2 linked regions of the Caenorhabditis elegans genome follow. The protein of the gene in region 1 purifies or fractionates together with the protein of each later gene. This does not show direct contact. Each region holds a gene or a part of one and is shown in the gene's direction. Other genes may lie near its edges.

The links.
Region 2: the proteins of T20D4.10 (region 1) and K09D9.1 fractionate together in Caenorhabditis elegans (co-fractionation; one large-scale study listed by BioGRID). This does not show direct contact.

Annotation. Positions count from the first base shown.
Region 1 is NC_003283.11:3,394,867-3,405,888, forward strand, and holds T20D4.10 (T20D4.11-like domain-containing protein), read left to right. Parts: upstream 1-5,385; 5' UTR 5,386-5,388; coding exon 5,389-5,520; intron 5,521-5,576; coding exon 5,577-5,987; intron 5,988-6,032; coding exon 6,033-6,095; 3' UTR 6,096-6,197; downstream 6,198-11,022. Other genes in the region: T20D4.12 (T20D4.11-like domain-containing protein), read left to right, coding at 2,209-2,337, 2,389-2,799, 2,846-2,905; T20D4.11 (T20D4.11-like domain-containing protein), read left to right, coding at 3,827-3,979, 4,026-4,427, 4,479-4,523.
Region 2 is NC_003283.11:4,023,094-4,030,603, forward strand, and holds K09D9.1 (DUF4130 domain-containing protein), read left to right. Parts: upstream 1-1,953; 5' UTR 1,954-2,010; coding exon 2,011-2,033; intron 2,034-2,079; coding exon 2,080-2,411; intron 2,412-2,475; coding exon 2,476-2,938; intron 2,939-2,987; coding exon 2,988-3,048; 3' UTR 3,049-3,119; downstream 3,120-7,510. Other genes in the region: cyp-35A3 (CYtochrome P450 family), read left to right, coding at 1-102, 145-447, 499-609, 669-1,155, 1,202-1,327.

The DNA of each region.
Region 1 (11,022 bases):
TTTTACTCATCCCAACAACTGGTCTGTGCCGGAACTTTTCGACCCCAAGATATCTCAAGATTACACTAAAAACTACTGATAGAAAGCTTTTTCTTAAATGCTACTTAACTCCTAATAGCTTTGATTAATAGGGCTCCCACGAGGTCGCCGCAACGGCGCCTTCGCCGGCCTGCGGCGCGGAACCGCGAACGTGTCGGCCGCTTCCAAACAACTACCTCTTCGCACTACGTTGAGCACACGCCAGGCTACTCATTTCACGCCAAGCTGCGGGACTTCGAACGTGTCGGCCGCTTCAAATAACTACCTTTTGCACACACACAAAAACCACTTTATTTTACTCGTAATGAGAATTTAAAACTGAAAAAAATCTAATAGTAAGCCAATTTATTAAACAAAGTTCTCGATGATTTATCCGAGTCTGCTAAAGTCGCATTCACTGACAAGCATGTAAGAAAGATTGACAAATTGCTGAAAATTACCAAAAATTTTTTAATTAAAAAATCTATATAGTATACCTCACGGAACTTATTCCATTCTTGTTGGCTACAAGTTTCAATGATTTCCTTCTTGAGACAGTCATCCTTTCCAAAATATGTCTTACATGTGTCCTTTTTCAATTGATCAATTTTATTCTGGTCCAGTGTTGAATGAATTCCATTTGGAACCGGGTCTCAGTCATCGAAACATTCAGATTTCTTCGCGTTCAATTTCTCACTACACTTGGCAAAATCCGTGTGTAAGTACACAAGAGCATCGCAATACTTTTCCACAGTCTTCAGCGCTGACTCTCCTTTCTCATTTTGTAAAGAACATGTGAGATTGGCGAAGCATTTCTGCAGAGAATCGCAAGACGTCTTGAATTCGTTCAGCTCATCTTTGTTATTCATATTAAGCTTGTCGATTTTTCCGGTGAACTCAGTCAGGCGCTGAACATCGAACAAGGTTACTTATAAAGTGAATGAATCAAAATCACTTACAAAGCGGCAAAAAAGTTCATCGGGTGTTTCACCAGTGCAGTTGGGTTTGAGATCAGCAGGAGCTCCATGGGCCACTCCTAAGATAATAGTTCCAATGGCGGCAAATTGAAGAAAACTTATCATTTTCTGAAAAAAAAACAAAAAAATCAAGAAATATTTGAAGAACGGAGACGGAAAAAAGTGAAGATTTCTACTGGGCTGAGATCTACTGGAGGTATGAGCGATTGAAAAGACAATGTGGCAACTGTCTTGGATTTTCGAGAAGCTCAAGACAAGTTAAGGGGCTCACACGTTTGTATTAAAATCTCTTCTTTCACTCGTACCATAAACATGCAGAGGGTGGAGCTTTGTGACCCGAATCAACTCCGAGATTACACTGAACGGATGATAGTGAGTTCTTTTTCGTAATTTTTTAGCAATTGTCGGCCAAACGAGTGTTACTGGAGGTAGCAGACAGACATCCCTCCCTGGTGCACATTTTTCTATCAAAGATCGCAGATAGGCAAACTCTATGCAGATCTCAAACTTTCAAACTTTTCTGATCGGCTTGAACAATCATGGGTAGAAGTAGTAGAGCAAACGGAAAATGGAAGTGACTGCAAACTCAGCAGCACCAACAGTTATATGAAAAAACAAACCGTGCGAAATAAGCAGTCCAATTGCGTAGTAATACTTGCAAGTGCGATTCAGTGAGAGTACCAGGAAGTTCTGAACAGAACATATCAGGCAAACAAAATGAATGAGATTCCTAGTAGGGTCGCGATCTTTGAATTTGATTTGGAATCGGATAACACTTTTAAAAAATAGTTTGTGTAGCTTGTACCGAGTTAGATGTTCAACTAGGAAAAAGTCGCTAACATCGCACGCCTGTCTTCGCTGTTCAATTTCCTCGGGATGGCAATTGCTGGAAAAAAGAAATAAAGCAGAAGAAAGCACTTGCTGTATCTTCTGTTCTTAGTGTAATTTTTAGACTTCTCGGGGTCAAACAATTCCGGCATCAACATGTTTATGGTGAATCAAGGGATAGGTTTCAATGTACAAATTTCATTTTGGTGGAACAAATGTGCGATCCACAATCATCAGGAAACTTTTCTCTTTGGTATTCCAGGAACTACGACAGTTGGCAGAATATCATCTTTTAAATCGTTTAAATAGAGCTCACCGTATTGGAAATCTTCATTCTTACTTTTTTCACTTTTATCAACTTTCAATATAAATTTTGTTTCAGAAAATGATAGGATTCCTCAAACTTGTTGTCATTGGCACTGTGTTTTTAGAAGTGGCTAATGCAGCATTTGCGGAGGAAGAAATCCTTGTGTGTACTGAAGAAGAGTCACTTAGGTCACTTTTTTGTGCCATGGTGAGTTGTATTAATCTATGTATCTTATTAATTCGAAATATTTAAATTTAGCGTATTCCCCCTTTTATCAACAAAACTGAACTACTCGACATGAATGACAAAAAGGAGGTAAAAGAATTGAAGGAGGAGTGCCATAACGTACTCAGTTGTTTCAACAAAATCAAATGTTTGGGCAAAAATGGAGATCAAATACCGAAGCTTAGGGTTGTTGGAAAGTATTGCAAAGCATTGGACTACGTACACGATAATTTTGCCGAGTGTAGTGACAAATTGAATGCAAAGAAATCAACATGTTTTGATGACTGGGACCCAATTCCAAACAAAGTTCATTTCGAAAAAGATCCAATAAAAAAAGAGCAGTTAAGAAGTGAGGCTTGCAAGATATATTTTGGAAAAGACGACTGCATGATGAAGGAAATTAAGGCAACATGTGGACAACAAGAATGGGACGCCTTCAGAGTGGTAAAATGCTTTTAGATATTTTCGCTAGAATATCGTTCATTTTCAGCATTTCATTAACATCGCAGGAGGATTTGTCGACACTTGTGACTTCAGCAGATTGAATTAAATTTTATGTGTTCTTTTTTTTAATTAAATGTTTCTGAAGTTCTCTTACCGGCTACTCCTGCATTTTTGTCTTTACTGCAAAATACCACTATTATGCTCCCAAGATGGCCAAATATCCTAATAAAACTTTTCGAACGTTCTTTTAAAAAAAATTTACAGAAAAAGTGGTAATTTTGCCAATTTTCAACGCTATAATATATAATACTCAAAACGTATGTAAACAATAAAATTCGTGGAAATTTATTTGTAATCGACCATATTGCCGGTTGCTAAAAAGTTGCCGAAGTTTTCAGCGTCCGGCAACTTTGGCAATTGCCGAAATTTTTGGGGTTCGGCAACTTCGGCAGTTGCCGAGTTCTTTTTTCTCGGCAACCTCGGCAATTGCCGATATCAATGTCAAACATTTTTAGCTCACAATCAGAAAGAAGCATTCAGAGAGCCTGAAAAATGCTAACATTTCACAGTAAATTTAAAAAAAAACGACCATACTTTCTTTCAAAAGGTTCAAATATACATATAATTTCAACAAAAATATATGTTCGACCAACGTCAAAACCTTGAAACCTGGTTGCCGGTTGCCGAAAATCTCGGATGCCGCACAGCCCCGATGAGCTCTAACGTCTTTTCGATTTCTAATCGCTTCTCTCGGATCTGTTTGGAACCAGGATCCCTTCTTACTCACTTCCGCGATAGATCTTATTTTTATCTGACACGCTAACATATCCACAGTTTTGCATCACATGTCATTTGTCCCAAACATTTTGACCCTGTGGAACTTTAACAGTTGGCGTCAGGGAAAAAGAACCACCGTCAGAAAACTATGTTCTCTCGCAGTGGGATAGGTTCTCTCATTTTTCGATTAGTTTTTCACTATTTTCCCTGTTTTTTAAAAAAACTGTTGAATTATTTTTAATTGCAGAAAATGAGGGGTTTTTTCAAACTTGCTCTGCTCGCATCAGTCCTACTTGCACTCGCTTATGGGGATGATGGATACAATGAAGCAAGTGAGTTGGAGAGAAGAAGAATTAGAGATTGCCCAGAAGTCACTTTTAAAAGAATGGCCGGTTGCGTTTGGGTAAGTTTTTAGAAATAACTAGCCCAGGTGAATAATTGTTTTACAGGAATTTGGAGGATTTTTGAAAAAAGTACTTTTTCTGGATTTAGAGCAGAGGACTCTGGATAAATTTAGAAAATCGTGCGTTTCAATGGCTACATGTTTCGATCTTATCGAGTGTAAAGAAACTGGCAAATTTTCAAGAGGCAAAAGAATCAAGGACTCTTGTGATGTCATGAACTACTTATCCAAAAATTTCGTTCCCTGTCTTAGAAGATTGGAAAAATTGAATCCAGCACCTACGTGCTTCAAGAAGTGGAAACCATTTTATGATTTGAATGAAGTTGGACCTGACACAACCCCAGAGGAAATGGAGGAATTGTGCAAAAATATGCTTGGAAAAGACAATTGCATGAAGGATCTAGTCGGCAGAACTTGTGGAGGAGCCATGTCGCAAGAGTTGGTCGATGTAAGCTTCAGCTTTGTAGTTAGCAGAGAAATTGAATTTTGAAAATTTCAGCGTTTTGAAGAAACATCCGTTTTCAAACAATGCGACGCTGACTAAATTTAGCGGACATTTGAATCCTTCATTTTCTTTGCTAAACAATTAAACAACAGTTATTTCATGCTAAACAACTAACGTTTACATTTGAATAATTTTGAATTTTTTCTCTTGAAATTTATGTTTCAAAAAGTACTGTTTTCAGAGGAAAATTTACTTCAAACTTGTAAAAATTATATGTTACACTAATAAACTTTGAAGTTGTTTTTGAGGACTTTTTTGACGAAACTGTATTTCTTGTAATAAAATGCAATTATAGTGAGTGTACCAGAAATTTCCAATTTTAATTTTTTAATGTAAAATTTCTAGTCTTCACCTAAAAAAGAGTCACTTGTAACAGGAACATAATATTTGAATTACTCTGAGTTAGCAATAAACTATTGCAAAATAAGCAAATTATTCTTGTTTTGGATCTTTACTGCATCATTCTGATGAACAAATATATTTTACACCGCACCAGTGACTGAATGTTTCTGACAATTAATTTTTGGGATGGTCTCTAACATTGCACGCCTGTCTTTTCCGTTCAATCTCATTCGGATGACAATTTCTGGAAAAAGGAAGCAAAAGAAAGCACTTGCTATCTTTTGTTCTTAGTGTAATTTTGAGGTTTCTTGGGGTCAAACAATTCCGGCATCAACATGTTTATGGTGAATCAAGGGATAGGTTTCAATGTACAAATTTCATTTTGGTGGAACAAGTGTGCGATTGACAAGCATCAGAAACTCTTTTTGAGCTATTCCAGGAACAACGACAGTTGGCAGAATATCATCTTTTAAATCGTTTAAATAGAGCTCACCGTATTGGAAATCTTCATTCTTACTTTTTTCACTTTTATCAACTTTCAATATAAATTTTGTTTCAGAAAATGATAGGATTCCTCAAACTTGCCATTATTGGCACTGTGTTCTTGGGAGTGGCCCATAAAGCAGTTGCGACTGGAGCAGAAGACGCTGGTTGTACTGATGGAGAATCACTTAGGGCATTTTCTTGCATCATGGTGAGTAGTCTTTATCTTCAAGCAACTCAATAATTTATTATAAATTCCAAATTCAGGGTCTGTCCGATTTCATCAAAAAAACTGACAACCTCGACATGAATGACAAAAAGGAGCTAAAAGTATTCAAGGATGATTGCCATAACGTAATCAGTTGTTTCAACAAAATCAAATGCTTGGGAACAGATGGAGAGAAAATTCCAGAAATGAAGGTTGTTATAAAGTATTGCAAAGCTATGGACTACGTTCACGATGATTTTGCCGCCTGTAGTGACAAATTGAATGCGAAGAAATCAAAATGTTTTGATGACTGGGATCCAATGCCAGACAAACTCCAAGATGAAACAGATCCAATAAAAGTTGCCAAGTCAAGAAGTGAGACTTGTAAGAGATATTTCGGAAAAGACGACTGCATGATGAAGGAAGTCAAAGAAACATGTGGCCAACAAGAATGGGACTCCTTCCGAAAGGTAAAAGCTTCTAGATAATTTCGCTAAAATATCGTTCATTTTTAGCATTTCATCACCATCGCTGGAGGATTTGTCGACACTACTTGTGACTTCAGCAGATTCAATTAAATAATTTATTTGTTTTTTTTTGCGTTAAATATTTCAGAGTTTCTAAAATTCCTGGCCAAAAACAAATCCCATTTTTGATTTTTGATAAATTTACAAATTTTCCAAACGAGCACAACTTAAAAACTATAAATGTTATCGAGAAAAGTTTAACTGGTGAAGTATTGCTCATAATTGCGCCTACTGGTATTCGGTTGTTTGAGTTTTTTACAAATTTCATGACAAAAAATACAGCGGCCGAAATCTCGTGAGCCCGTTTTTGACAACGTTACTGATTCGACCGTATCTCGAGAACCAAATTTTTTTTCCGGAAATGTTGTTAAATGGAAATAGTCCTCGCCAGCATTTAAACTTGTTTTATCTGACACTACCAGCCTTTTCAATTTATGATCGCTTCCCTTGCTACTTCTCGGAACCAGGCTCCCTTCTTCCGCACTTTCGCAATTGAACGTATTTTTATCTGACTTGTGTACGGTGGACAAATCCACTGTTTCACATCACATGTCATGTTTCCCCAAACATTTTGACCCCGTTTGTAAAGCATTGACAATTGGCGTCCAGGAAAAAGAATGTTAAACCACCGTCAGAAAACTATGTTTTCTGGGATAGGTCGCATCGCTTTTTTTTTATCATTTAACTTTTTTCGGTTTTGAAACAAGTTGTCCATTCCTTATGATTTTCAGAAAATGAGCTTTTTGTTCAAGCTTGCTATACTTGGAGCACTTCTTCTTGCATTTGCGGAAAACCAGGTTCCAAACAATGAAACAAGTATTATCGAGTCGGGAACTGGAACAAATTGCACGGAAGTCACTTTAAAAAAGTTGTTGGCTTGCCTTTATGTAAGATTTTTTGAAATTTCTAGCTCATTGGAATAATCTGTTTACAGCGATTAGGAGAATTCAGTGCAAGATTGTTCTTTGTCGATTTGAAGCAGAAGAGCCTGGAGAAATTTACAAAATCGTGCACTTCCATATTTACAAAATCGTGCACTTCCACACATGTCTTGACCTTGTTGAGTGTGAAAAAGAGCAAGACAACTCCACAGGAAAACAAGTTAGGGAGTCCTGTGAGATCATGAACTTCTTATCCACAGACTTCAATCCCTGTCTTGCAAAGTTGGGAAACTTGAAACCAGTTCCCGAGTGTTTCAAAGAGTGGAAACCATTTTATGATTTGGTATTAAGTGGAGAGGACGAAACCACAGACGAAATGGGGGAACTGTGCAAAAACATGGTTGGAAAAGAAAATTGCGTGAAGAAGTTGGTCAGCGAAACGTGTGGAGAGCCGGAATCCCAGCAGTTGTTTAATGTGAGTTTCAGCGCTGTAGTGTTCCAAAAAATTATTTTTGTTTAATTTCAGAAGTTGAAAGCTACAAGCCAATTCAAACACTGCAACTGAAACCAACACAAAAGCCACGACCCTCAGAACTGTCATACTTTAATTTTATTTTAATTTTGAATTAGTTACTGAAATAAAACTATTCCACCAGTTCAAAAAAATCGGAACTTATATCAACTCTCTTTTTTGTATTGGTCAGGATCAATTGGTCTGGATCTTGGTGATTTAGAGATACATTTGACATTGGGAGAAGTTTGAAGAAAAAGGTTGCTGCGACATGTGGCGTACAAATGAACACATGCCTTTTCACATTTTGTTCTTAATACTAACTGAGAATGAACTTCCTGTTGGTACTGACACTAATTGTGACTATAAGCGTGCAGAGTAACCAAGAGGTAGGTTTTCACACTGAATTATTGAATTTTTTGATTTTTTCTGGATTTTTAAAATTAAATCTATGTTATTTTGAACATGAGTGAGTTGACGGCAATCGTTTTTTTCTTTTTTTGAAAATGGTTTGTTAAAAAAAAACAAGTATTGCAAATTCAGATTGACCCGAAAAATTTTCTGACAAACTTTGGTAAACAAACTAAAAACTATAAAATGTATTCAGAATGCTAGTCTGGATCCTTGCAACGACTTCTATGATTATGTGTGCTCAAATGACACCAGAAGCATCACTAAGCTTAACTTCACAAGTTTATTCGAGGATCGTGAGATACTGGTAGTAGGCTCCCAGCCATTCATATAATAGTACCCAACAATTTTCCAGAATCCGAACATCTCATTTTCGAATAACGGTTCCTACACCACATTAAATCAAATTCTTGAGCCGGATCGCTTAATGAAATGGTATATGACAGTCAAATCATTGGATACGGCCATTGTGGATATGGAATATTTTTTCGAAACGCATTACGAATATATTAAAAAGAAGAACAATTCTGAGAAATTCAGTTTTATGGTGGAGACCCTGAAAAACGTTAATCTGACGGTAAGAAAATCCCGTAAATTTTAAGAATATGTCAAATTTCACGATAAAATATTTTTGCTAGCCCTAGTTTCAAAAAAAGCGAGTGAATTGGATTTTCTTCTAACTCTAAAGAGAAAATGTAATATTTTTTGGAAAGAATTTAGTTTTCTAATAACAATTTGAGAGCGAATTTCACATACTACATTTTCAATATTTTTTATATTCCAGTTGACAAATATTTTCTACAATTCTCTCTACGCCAATATTGAGGTCCTCAACCAGCTTAATCTCCCAGCCTCCGAAGAAAACAAATTTCTTCATCATATCTTCAATATGTTAAAAAATAATACTATCGAGGAGATTTGGAGCAGTTCTTTCTCTGATGAAAGTAAAAAAGAGTTTGACAAAAAAAACTGGAAAATTCAAAAGTATTTTTTGGACTTTTGGATTATAATAATGTCACAATACTAGAGGAAACTAAACTCATTTACGAGACGGAATATTAACGACTCAAAAGTTTATTGCCACCAGAGTAAGTAGAATATTGAAGACCAACTTTTAGAATTTGATTTCAGTGATCTTGACACTGAAATTGCGGAGAAAATCCTCCGTTTAGGAGCCATTGATACCGCGACAAAGTACTTGGCAAAACGAATTCCGGGCTATGAACCGGAGTTTTTGTTCTCAGCTTTTGCGTCGAATACGGAAAATGAAGCGTTTAAGCACAACTCAGCTATTTACAGTGGAATTGTCCCTCGAAATGATTTACAACAACCCATGTTAGCGGTAAGGGAATATTCAACATTAATTTTGATGTTTATGTCAGTCATGGGTGTTAATCCTTTTTGTTGGCTAACGGTTTTTTAAATCTGAAATTCTGACGGCTTGAAAATTGCCGGGAAATACCAAGGCTGTTTCGTATTTTTCCAGATAGCCGACACCTTTTCCGTGCTTGCCCATGAGCTCATGCACTTTGTCTATCCAAGCGGAACAGAGTTACTGACTCCTAATGTTACAAAAGCAGCAAACAAGTGTACACAAGATGAAGTCAAGATGATGGGTGACTCTGATGCCGTGGTGAGCTAGCAAATTTCTACTTTTTTCACATATGTGCTTCACTAAAATTGCCGATTTCAGAAACCAATAGATGGATGGTTCAGTAAAAAGGTCACTCATGAAGATTTAGCAAACATAATGGGATTAAGGATGGTTATGAAGATGGCGGCAAAGAAATCGGTGAATGAAGAGCAGGTAGGATATGTTTTAGCAGGTTTTCTAGATACATTGTTAATAAATTAGGTAGGAACATGCAGACAAAGTTGTCGGACGCTAAAGCTTTCGGCAACCTGCGACCAAGTTCATTGAAAAAAATTGCCCTTTTCTAAAACCCTAGGAATTACCAATTAAACCAGGGGAATTAAAATACGTCAATGTATTTGTTACAAGCACAAGAGTGAAACAAAGCATATTTCATTGATTTGTGTAGATCACCCAATCAGGTACTCATAATTAGAGCTGGTTCCCGGAAAGCATCTCACCGTCAAAAATTACATATTTCAGCTGAAAAATGCGCTTGAGACAATTTTGGGCGGATTATGCATCCAAGGCAAACCAAAAAACTCAATTCTACCACATCATCATCCCTTTGAAATATCCATCAACACTGCAGTTCGCCAGTATCCATTGTTCAGTTCACTCTATGGGTGTCGCCCTGGTGATCGAATGTTTGCTGAAGCGGTACGGAATTTGAGATGAAACAAGAATATACAGTATAACAATTCCTTTCAGGAAAAGTTTTGCAATCCACTGGGCGGCGAGGTGAATTTGGAAGACTATAAAATCAAGAATGATACTGAAGATATTGGTGGATTCTTCAATTATATAATGGATACCGCAAATGCATTTAATTTTTCTATCGAAAATTGAATTTTTGACACCACCATTCAACATTTACATGCAAAATCACGATGATGTTTAAACTATCTTACTTGATGTTTTCCCAGCGTTTCATTGGTTTTTGTATGTTATTTATAACCGTTTTTATGCATTTTTCATCAATTGTATGCTTTTAGTTTATAAGTTTTTTTTCTTAAAAATACACTTTTCAACCAATAAAATAGTCTGTATTGATTCAAAGTATTCAGTTCATCTTTCTACACTTCTACGACTTTAGAGGGTGGTACACTTATTCAAAATGGCCCCGCCACGCTCCACCATGATCTCGCCACTCGCTTCAAAAAAATTTGTTTTTTGATGAATTTATTAGAATTATCTATAAAACATTGGTCTCCTTTTTTTATCAATAACAATTGGTCTGGATCTTGGTGATTTAGAGATACATTTGACATTGGGAGAAGTTTGAAGAACAAGGTTGCTCCGACATGTGGCGTACAAATGAACACATGCCTTTTCACATTTTGCTCCTAATACTAACTGAGAATGAACTTCCTGCTGGTACTGACACTAATTGTGACTATAAGCGTGCAGAGTAGACAAGATGTGAGTTTTTTACATTAAATTACTGAAAATGTTTATTTTTTTGTTTCAAATTTCATAGATTTAACATATAATTTGTTGCTATTCTGACAAACTTTGCTAAACAAACTACAAACTACAAAA
Region 2 (7,510 bases), 620 kb from region 1:
TCACTGGCAAGAAATGAGGAGATTTTCTCTGCAGACTTTCCGGAATATGGGGGTTGGGAAGGATATCATGGAGACAAGAATATTGGAAGAACTTGATGCAAGGTAGGTACTTGCCTAAGTATTACTAAGTTCATATCCATTCAGATGCTCCGACATTGATAAATCAGCAAAGAACGGAGTCACTGTAGCACAAGCCTCCGAATTTTTTGATTTAACCGTTGGAAGTGTCATCAACAGTATTTTGGTTGGCAAACGATTTGAAGAAGATACAAAACATGTGTTTTTGAGAATTAAAAATACAATTGATGAATCTTTCAAACTTATCACTCCTTTTAATACTACCGTTCCTGTTTGGATTTTGAAAACTTTCTTCAAGGATCGCTATGACAAAATGGCGGATGCTCAAGAAATAGCGAAAAACTTTGTAGCTGCAGAAGCGCTCAAAAGGTTTGTCTTTGCATTTTTCCATAACCATATAATAATTCTTTTTGTTTGAAGAATAGAAGACATAAAATCTGGAAAATATGTGATTGATGAGAACAATCTCCAAGATTACACTGACGCTTTCCTGTTGAAAATGCAGAAAGAAGGAGAGAATCTGGATTTTAAGTTAGTTATCAAATGCCATAAATAGAAAAAAAAAATCAAACTCGAGTATTTATTTTCAGCACTGAAACCTTAAAAACAATGTTAGTTGATTTGTGGTTAACCGGACAAGAAACAACTACAACTACATTGACTTCTGGATTCAATCAACTTTTGCTACATCCGGAAGTTATGGTGAAAGCTAGAGAGGAACTTATGAACGTAACTGAAAATGGTTCTCGAAGTCTCAGTCTTACTGACCGTTCATCAACTCCATACTTGAACGCAATGATTGGAGAGATTCAACGCCATGCCTCAATTCTTAACTTAAGTTTCTGGAAAGTCAACAAAGAATTCACATACATAGGCGGTCACCCTGTCGATGCTGGAGCTCTTGTTACTGCTCAACTCAGTGCTCTCCATGTCAATGAAACCTATTTTACAAATCCGCAAGTTTTCGAACCGGAAAGGTATAGTCAAGATGAGAAGCTTCTACAGAAAATAATTCCATTCGGAGTTGGAAAGAGAAGTTGCCTGGGAGAATCTTTGGCAAAAGCAGAATTGTATTTAGTAAGGAAACACAACTATGTTTATTGCATAATCATGGTACTTTTAGATCTTTGGAAACCTCCTTCTTCGCTATAAATTCGAGCCACATGGAAAACTTTCGGCTACCGATTTGATGCCATACAGCGCTGGGAGGAGACCATTCAAGCTGGAAATGAAATTTGTAAAAATTTGAATAAATCGTTGCAGTATTTCAATTGTAGTGAATGTTTAAATAAAAGTTACACTTGAAAAAAACATTTTCATAATAATTCTTTTTTTGTTTGCGGCAACTGTGGCTATTGCCGGCTGGCAACAGTTTTGGAGTTCGGCAACTGCCGATACCAGTTTCAGGCATTTTTTTTGCCCTGAAAAATGCAAGAATCGTAAATGAAGAAATGTTTTTTATAAATCCTCCAGCAGATAAGCTCAACAAGAATATTTGTTTGAAAAACGCCAAAACTGTGAAATAATCTTGGCAACCAATAACATCCGGTTCCATATATAAAATATGCCAAAACTGTAATCAGCTGTTGCGGAAACGTTACAGAAAAAATATTAATTAAAAATAAACTTTTTTTGTGATTTCTGTCACTTCGGCAGTTCCCCTAGGTCACTCAAAATATGATTTTAAATCAAACCTCGAGATGTCAATAATTTGAATAAAGTTTGACACCTTATCTATTTGACATCAATTTATTTGTAATCAGTTGAATTTTTGCATGACATTATTAGTCATTGATAGTTTCACGAAACGTCATGTAAAAGCGTCCGCGGGGAGGAGTGGAAAAGTTGACAAACAAAAAAAAGTATTACGAAATATTTCGCCACTGAAGTATAAAAAGGATGGAAATTTGAAAAGCGTCACCGGCGGTCAGTATGTACGAAGATTTGTATTTTTGGTGAGGATCCTATAATATTTTTCTCTATATATTTTTCATGTTTCAGGAGAAAAAATGGCCGCCCGGATATTGAAAAAGATCACGATTTCAACGCAGGTTGTCATATGAAAATGCGCTACATTGAAACCAATTTAGTTCTTTTGAAAACTTATCACATGGATTTCGGAGAAGGACAATGCTCGAAAAAGCGACAGGAAGAACTGGACCGAACAGTTTTTAGTCAAGATATTCAGCCATATGTTCAGTATTCTCTGAATAAAAAGAAACGATGGGAGGTTGAAGCGGCTGTTAAAATGCTCGGCGAGCTCCAAAAAATGTATAATGATATGGATGTTGTGGTGTTGGAAAGAATCGATTTTCGAGGTGCCCCATTTTTTAGTGAGTTATTTTTAATTAAAATTTGTGTTTTTTTTTTCAAAATATCAAAATACAAAACTTTCAGCGGGGCTCCGTTTCCCAGACAACTACTTTGAAAAGTTTCGAATTCAAAAAATGCATAAAATACTCGATGACAAATATTATCAGTGCACGGCTGTAGATTCTGTTCATGGACAGAAATTTAATGATATCCAATTTAAAAATCGATCTCTGAATAAATCAAAGGATCTAGAAGCCGAAACAATGACATCTAAAATTGCGGGAAGACCTATTGTAGCATATCATCTGATAAAGCCTCATCAAATTTACGAGAAAAAAGTTGCAAAGTATTTTAATCCATGCTCAACCAAGAAGAAAAATTGGTATTACTCCGAGCTCTACTCAGTTGATTGGTATCAACTTATCACTGAGGATACCTACGAAGCTATCACTTATGATGCTCTTGAAGATCATGAATGGGATGAGCTTCATGAGTGGGAAGAAGAAGAAGATACAGGTTCTATTAGTGTGGCGGTTTCTGAAAAGTGGTAAGTTTGCGTTATCGAGAACTACATATCTTAAAATTTAAATTTTCAGCTACAATTTGGAGGATCATCTCGTTGATAAATATGTAATGGTCAAAAGGAAGAAGGCTTGATTCAACATATTTATTTTATTTTTGCAGGTTTACAAAACTACGGGTTTAATAAATTATGTTTAAAAATTTTCTTGAATTTTGTTCTCTTTACAACTAAAAATATATTTAATTTTTTTAATAGCACCATATGAATTAGGCATACAAATCTACTGTTAGATTTTCACTGCATTTTGGCAGGAAGTTAAAATTGTAATTTTCCAAAATATTGACGACGGTGGCACTTGGTGAATTCTAGCCGCTGGAATTGATATAGCCTGAAATTTGTTATAATTTTTCCTTTCCAGAAAAAAAGACCTAAGCTTAAGGTTAAGCCTAAACTTAAGCCTAAACTTAAGTCTAAGATTAAGCCAAAGCCTGAACCAGAGCCTCAGCTTATGTCTAAGCCTAAGCCTAACCTCTTAAAAAGTTACAAGAAGGTTTTTCCTTGCGCTTGGAGCGCAAAAGAAAAAAAAAAGAGCTATTTAGTCTTAGGATGCCCAACTGGAATAAAACATTGGAAATCCCAATCCAACCAGCCTAAGGGCCCGAAAAACATACTAGGATGCCCAACTGGAATAAAATATTGGAAATCCTTATGACACACTTAAGCCTAAGGGCCCGAAAAAAAAAACTAGGATGCCCAACTGGAATAAAATATTGGAGATCCTTATGACACACCGGCGGTATGGCGCGGCTTAAGCCTAAATAGCCACTTTTATCAAAATACATTTGAGCTCGTCTTGCGTTTTACAATAACTTCTCAGACTCAAAAGTAATCTGTGTGTATTTTTCAGTAATCTAAATGAAAACTATAGATTACTGAGAAACTTGGAGATTTCGTAATATTTGGAGGGAAGCGAGCAACCTTTGGGGATATTTTTTCTTAGTAAAGTTATAGAATGCCATTATTCAAATTCCTATCTCATGGGAAGAAAAGTTCAAATTCTGTACCAACAGCTCGCCTTGCGTTTTACAATAACTTCTCAGGCAACTCAAAAGTAATCTGTGGATATTTTTCAGTAATCTAAATGAAGATTATTTCTAAGAAACTTGGAAATTTTGTAATATTTGAAGGGATGCGAGCAATCTCTACATATTTGCGATCAACCTCTGGAGATTTTTTTTCTTAGTGAAGTTATAGAATGCCAATATTCAAATTCCTATCTCATGGGAAGAAAAGTTCAAATTCTGTACCTACGTATATTTTTTTATAACTCCGTTCTTCCCACAAGAAAGGCCTTCTTCCCATGAGACAGGAATTCAAATATCGGCAGTATTCATAGGTACATAATTCGAACCTTTCTTTACATGAGATAGGAAGTTTATATCAACCAAATTAACCCTCCAGTAAAGTGGGACCTTTGATGAATATAATCACTCTGATAATATCTAATTCCGATGATTAATCCATTTTTCTTTCTCTCACACTTATGAACTAAAATGATTACTAAATTAAGGCGTGATATTCTAAGGTGTGATAACATATGATATTTATTTTTAAATTTAAATAAAGTTTTTTTTTTAATTTTTGCTAAAGAACGAATAGTTTACAACCGCCTCGCTCAAATTTATTTTGATAAAAGTGGCTATTTAGGCTTAAGCCGCGCCATACCGCCGGTGTGTCATAAGGATCTCCAATATTTTATTCCAGTTGGGCAGTATGTACCTAGTATGTTTTTCGGGCCCTTAGGCTGGTTGGATTGGGATTTCCAATGTTTTATTCCAGTTGGGCACCCTAAGACTAAATAGCTCTTTTTCTGTTCTTTTGCGCTCCAAGCGCAAGGAAAAACCTTCTTGTAACTTTTTAAGAGGGTTTCTGCCAAGCAGCCTCTAATAAATGCCGAGTGTGGCGACTCCGCCCCTTTTTCGCGTTTTTTCGCGTTTTTTTTTGGCTTGCGAAAAAATGTCACACTTCGTTTTCATTAATAACTCCAGAGCCGTTTGACTGAATTTTATAATATTTGACAGCTTACTAGAAATATTTCACCCCACGGGGGAGCAAAAAACTGCACAAAGTTTGGAGCAAAACTGAGCTCAGGACGGCTTTCCCCAGTTTGAAAAAAAATTTTGTTGCTCTTTTTACCCCCAAAAACCATGTTTTAATTGAATTAAAATTCGGGTTTTGCTCGGTTTTGTTCCAAATTTATGTGCAAGATACTACTCAGAGAGGTGGATTTTTTGAAAAAAAGTTTGAGTTCATAAGTGCAAAAGGCAAAAAGTTGTGATAAAATAAAAGGCCAAAAAATGCCATTTTGCCAAAAAAATTTTTTTTTCCGAAAAAGTAGTTTTTCGTCTTTATCTCAAGTTCTACTTCATCTTTTTCGATACTTTTTTTTTCTACCCCACGTAAAAAAGTACGCTGAACACGATTTTCAACTCAGAATTAAGAAAACTTTTATGAGTCGGCCGAGCAAGGCGAATAAGTGCCACATTTTGCACACTTTCTCATTTTCGCGAATCTACTTTTTCAATCATAACACGGTCAGTTTTCAAGTTTTCTTAGTTTTCCAAAAATTGACGTGTAGGTCTCATCAAGACGCATCGAGACATATAAAATTTGTAAAAAGTTCAGTGGGAAAATTTTTCAAGAAAAAAATAATTCAAAAATTTAGTACTGGGGGGAGTGGTTTCCTGCGTCTCCTGAACATTTTTTCCACTAAAGTTTTGCGGAATGTATTTTTAATTCATAGTTTTTGATTTTATTTGATGGAAGATGAAGTTTCGTCGCATTAGAAACACTCTGCCAAGAGATATTATTTTTATTAATTTTCAGGCCAAAACTTGTTTTTTTTCTATACATCTGTCTGTGTACAAGATATAGCCCTCAACTGTACGTCTCCTTTTTGGGAAATCAATAATGAGTACAATCCTGTAATAAAATTTTCAAAAATTCGTTTTCCCGCTGACATATCAGTAATAAACGGTTTTCGAACGCCTTTTCTCAAAATGTAATTATTGAAGAAAGCGGAATCGAAAAACGACTCCCTCCAGAAATTTCCCTTCCCTGCATCTCCCTGCCGGGTCTCTCCCGCATGGCCGAGTGGTTAGTGCGTATGGCTGTGAATATTTTGCTCGTTGGCTCGATTCCCCCAACTGACAAATTTTTTTTGGGTAATCGGGATTCGAATAGAAATGCTCGATTTTAAGCAAAATATGAGTGGGTCTCCTCTCCTCCCATTGGCTCACTGCAATTGTCACGAACCCTCTGGCAGGTTCGAGGCGAAGCCGAGAACCTACGTCCGACTGGGGGACTCGCCCTACACCCCCTGCAACTGGCGGGCCCGCAGGGCCCGCTTGTCTTATATTTTATTAAAATCGGGGCGAAGCCCTGATTTTAAATCCATATTGTTTTTTTTGTCTTCCACTATCCCTACAAATAGGAAAGAGAATGTGTTCTTTCTGATGAAGTAAAAACGGCGCAGCCAGCCGACAGCCGAAATTTTCACGATTTTCGGCTGGTAGCGCCAGCCGAAAAATTAAAAGAAGTCGGCTGGCGGCGCCAGCCGACAGCCGAACCAGCTTTTTGTCGGCTGGTAGCTTTAAATTTTTTTCCAGTTTTTTACAGAAAATTCGTCCAGTTCTTACAGAAAATTCGCGTTTCTATGTTTTAAATTTGATAACATTTGCAGTAACGGAGACTGCTGACCCGGCGTTTCCCATGAGAAAAGAGAGAGAGAGAGAGAGGGGGAGACAGTGAGATATACGGCAGAGACATAGACAGGGGAGACACCATTAGAGATCGTCTCCTATAGAGTGCTGCCGGCAGGGGGCGTTGTGGACCTGTGGGAAGAAGGGGGGAGACAACCGCACACTGTGCGGTTGTAAATGCGGAATAATCCATTTAAAACTAAGGAAAATAGTGGTCTAATGCTTAACAGTGAGCCGCCTAGATAAAACAAAAAAAAGTCGGCTGGCTGCGCCAGCCGACAGCCGAAATTTTCACTATTTTCGGCTGGTGCCACCAGCCGACAGCCGAAAAATTGAAGTCAATCGGCTGTCGGCGCCAGCCGACAGCCGAAAAAATCAGCCAGCCGCTCAGCCCTGGTGGGGTGGCGATGTGTTGGCAGCCAACCCTTCAACGAACTGTATCTCCCGCCTGTATCTCCCTTCAAAGTGAGATCCTGTAACAGTAATTAGAGACCATATTTACAGCCAGCCTACATGCATCACTGGAGACTCTGTGGAGAGGGAGGAGGCAAGAGAAAGGGGAGGCAAGAGGGGGCGGGCGGGCACTGCTGAACCTTGAAAGCGCCGTAGCTCCGCTCACAATTGGAATTGAAAAATGAAAAGTATATATTTGAAGTCAACGTTAAAAGGAGAATATGATAGCATTTGAAATTTTGGAAATTGGTGAAGAATGAAAAAAAAAGCCTCTGGAGCAAGGCTTGAAGCTCACAACTTCAGGAACGGGGCTCGAGGAACTCATGGCCAAAAACTTTTTATTTGTCTCGCTTCTCATAGCAAAAATAATAAGATTTAAAAC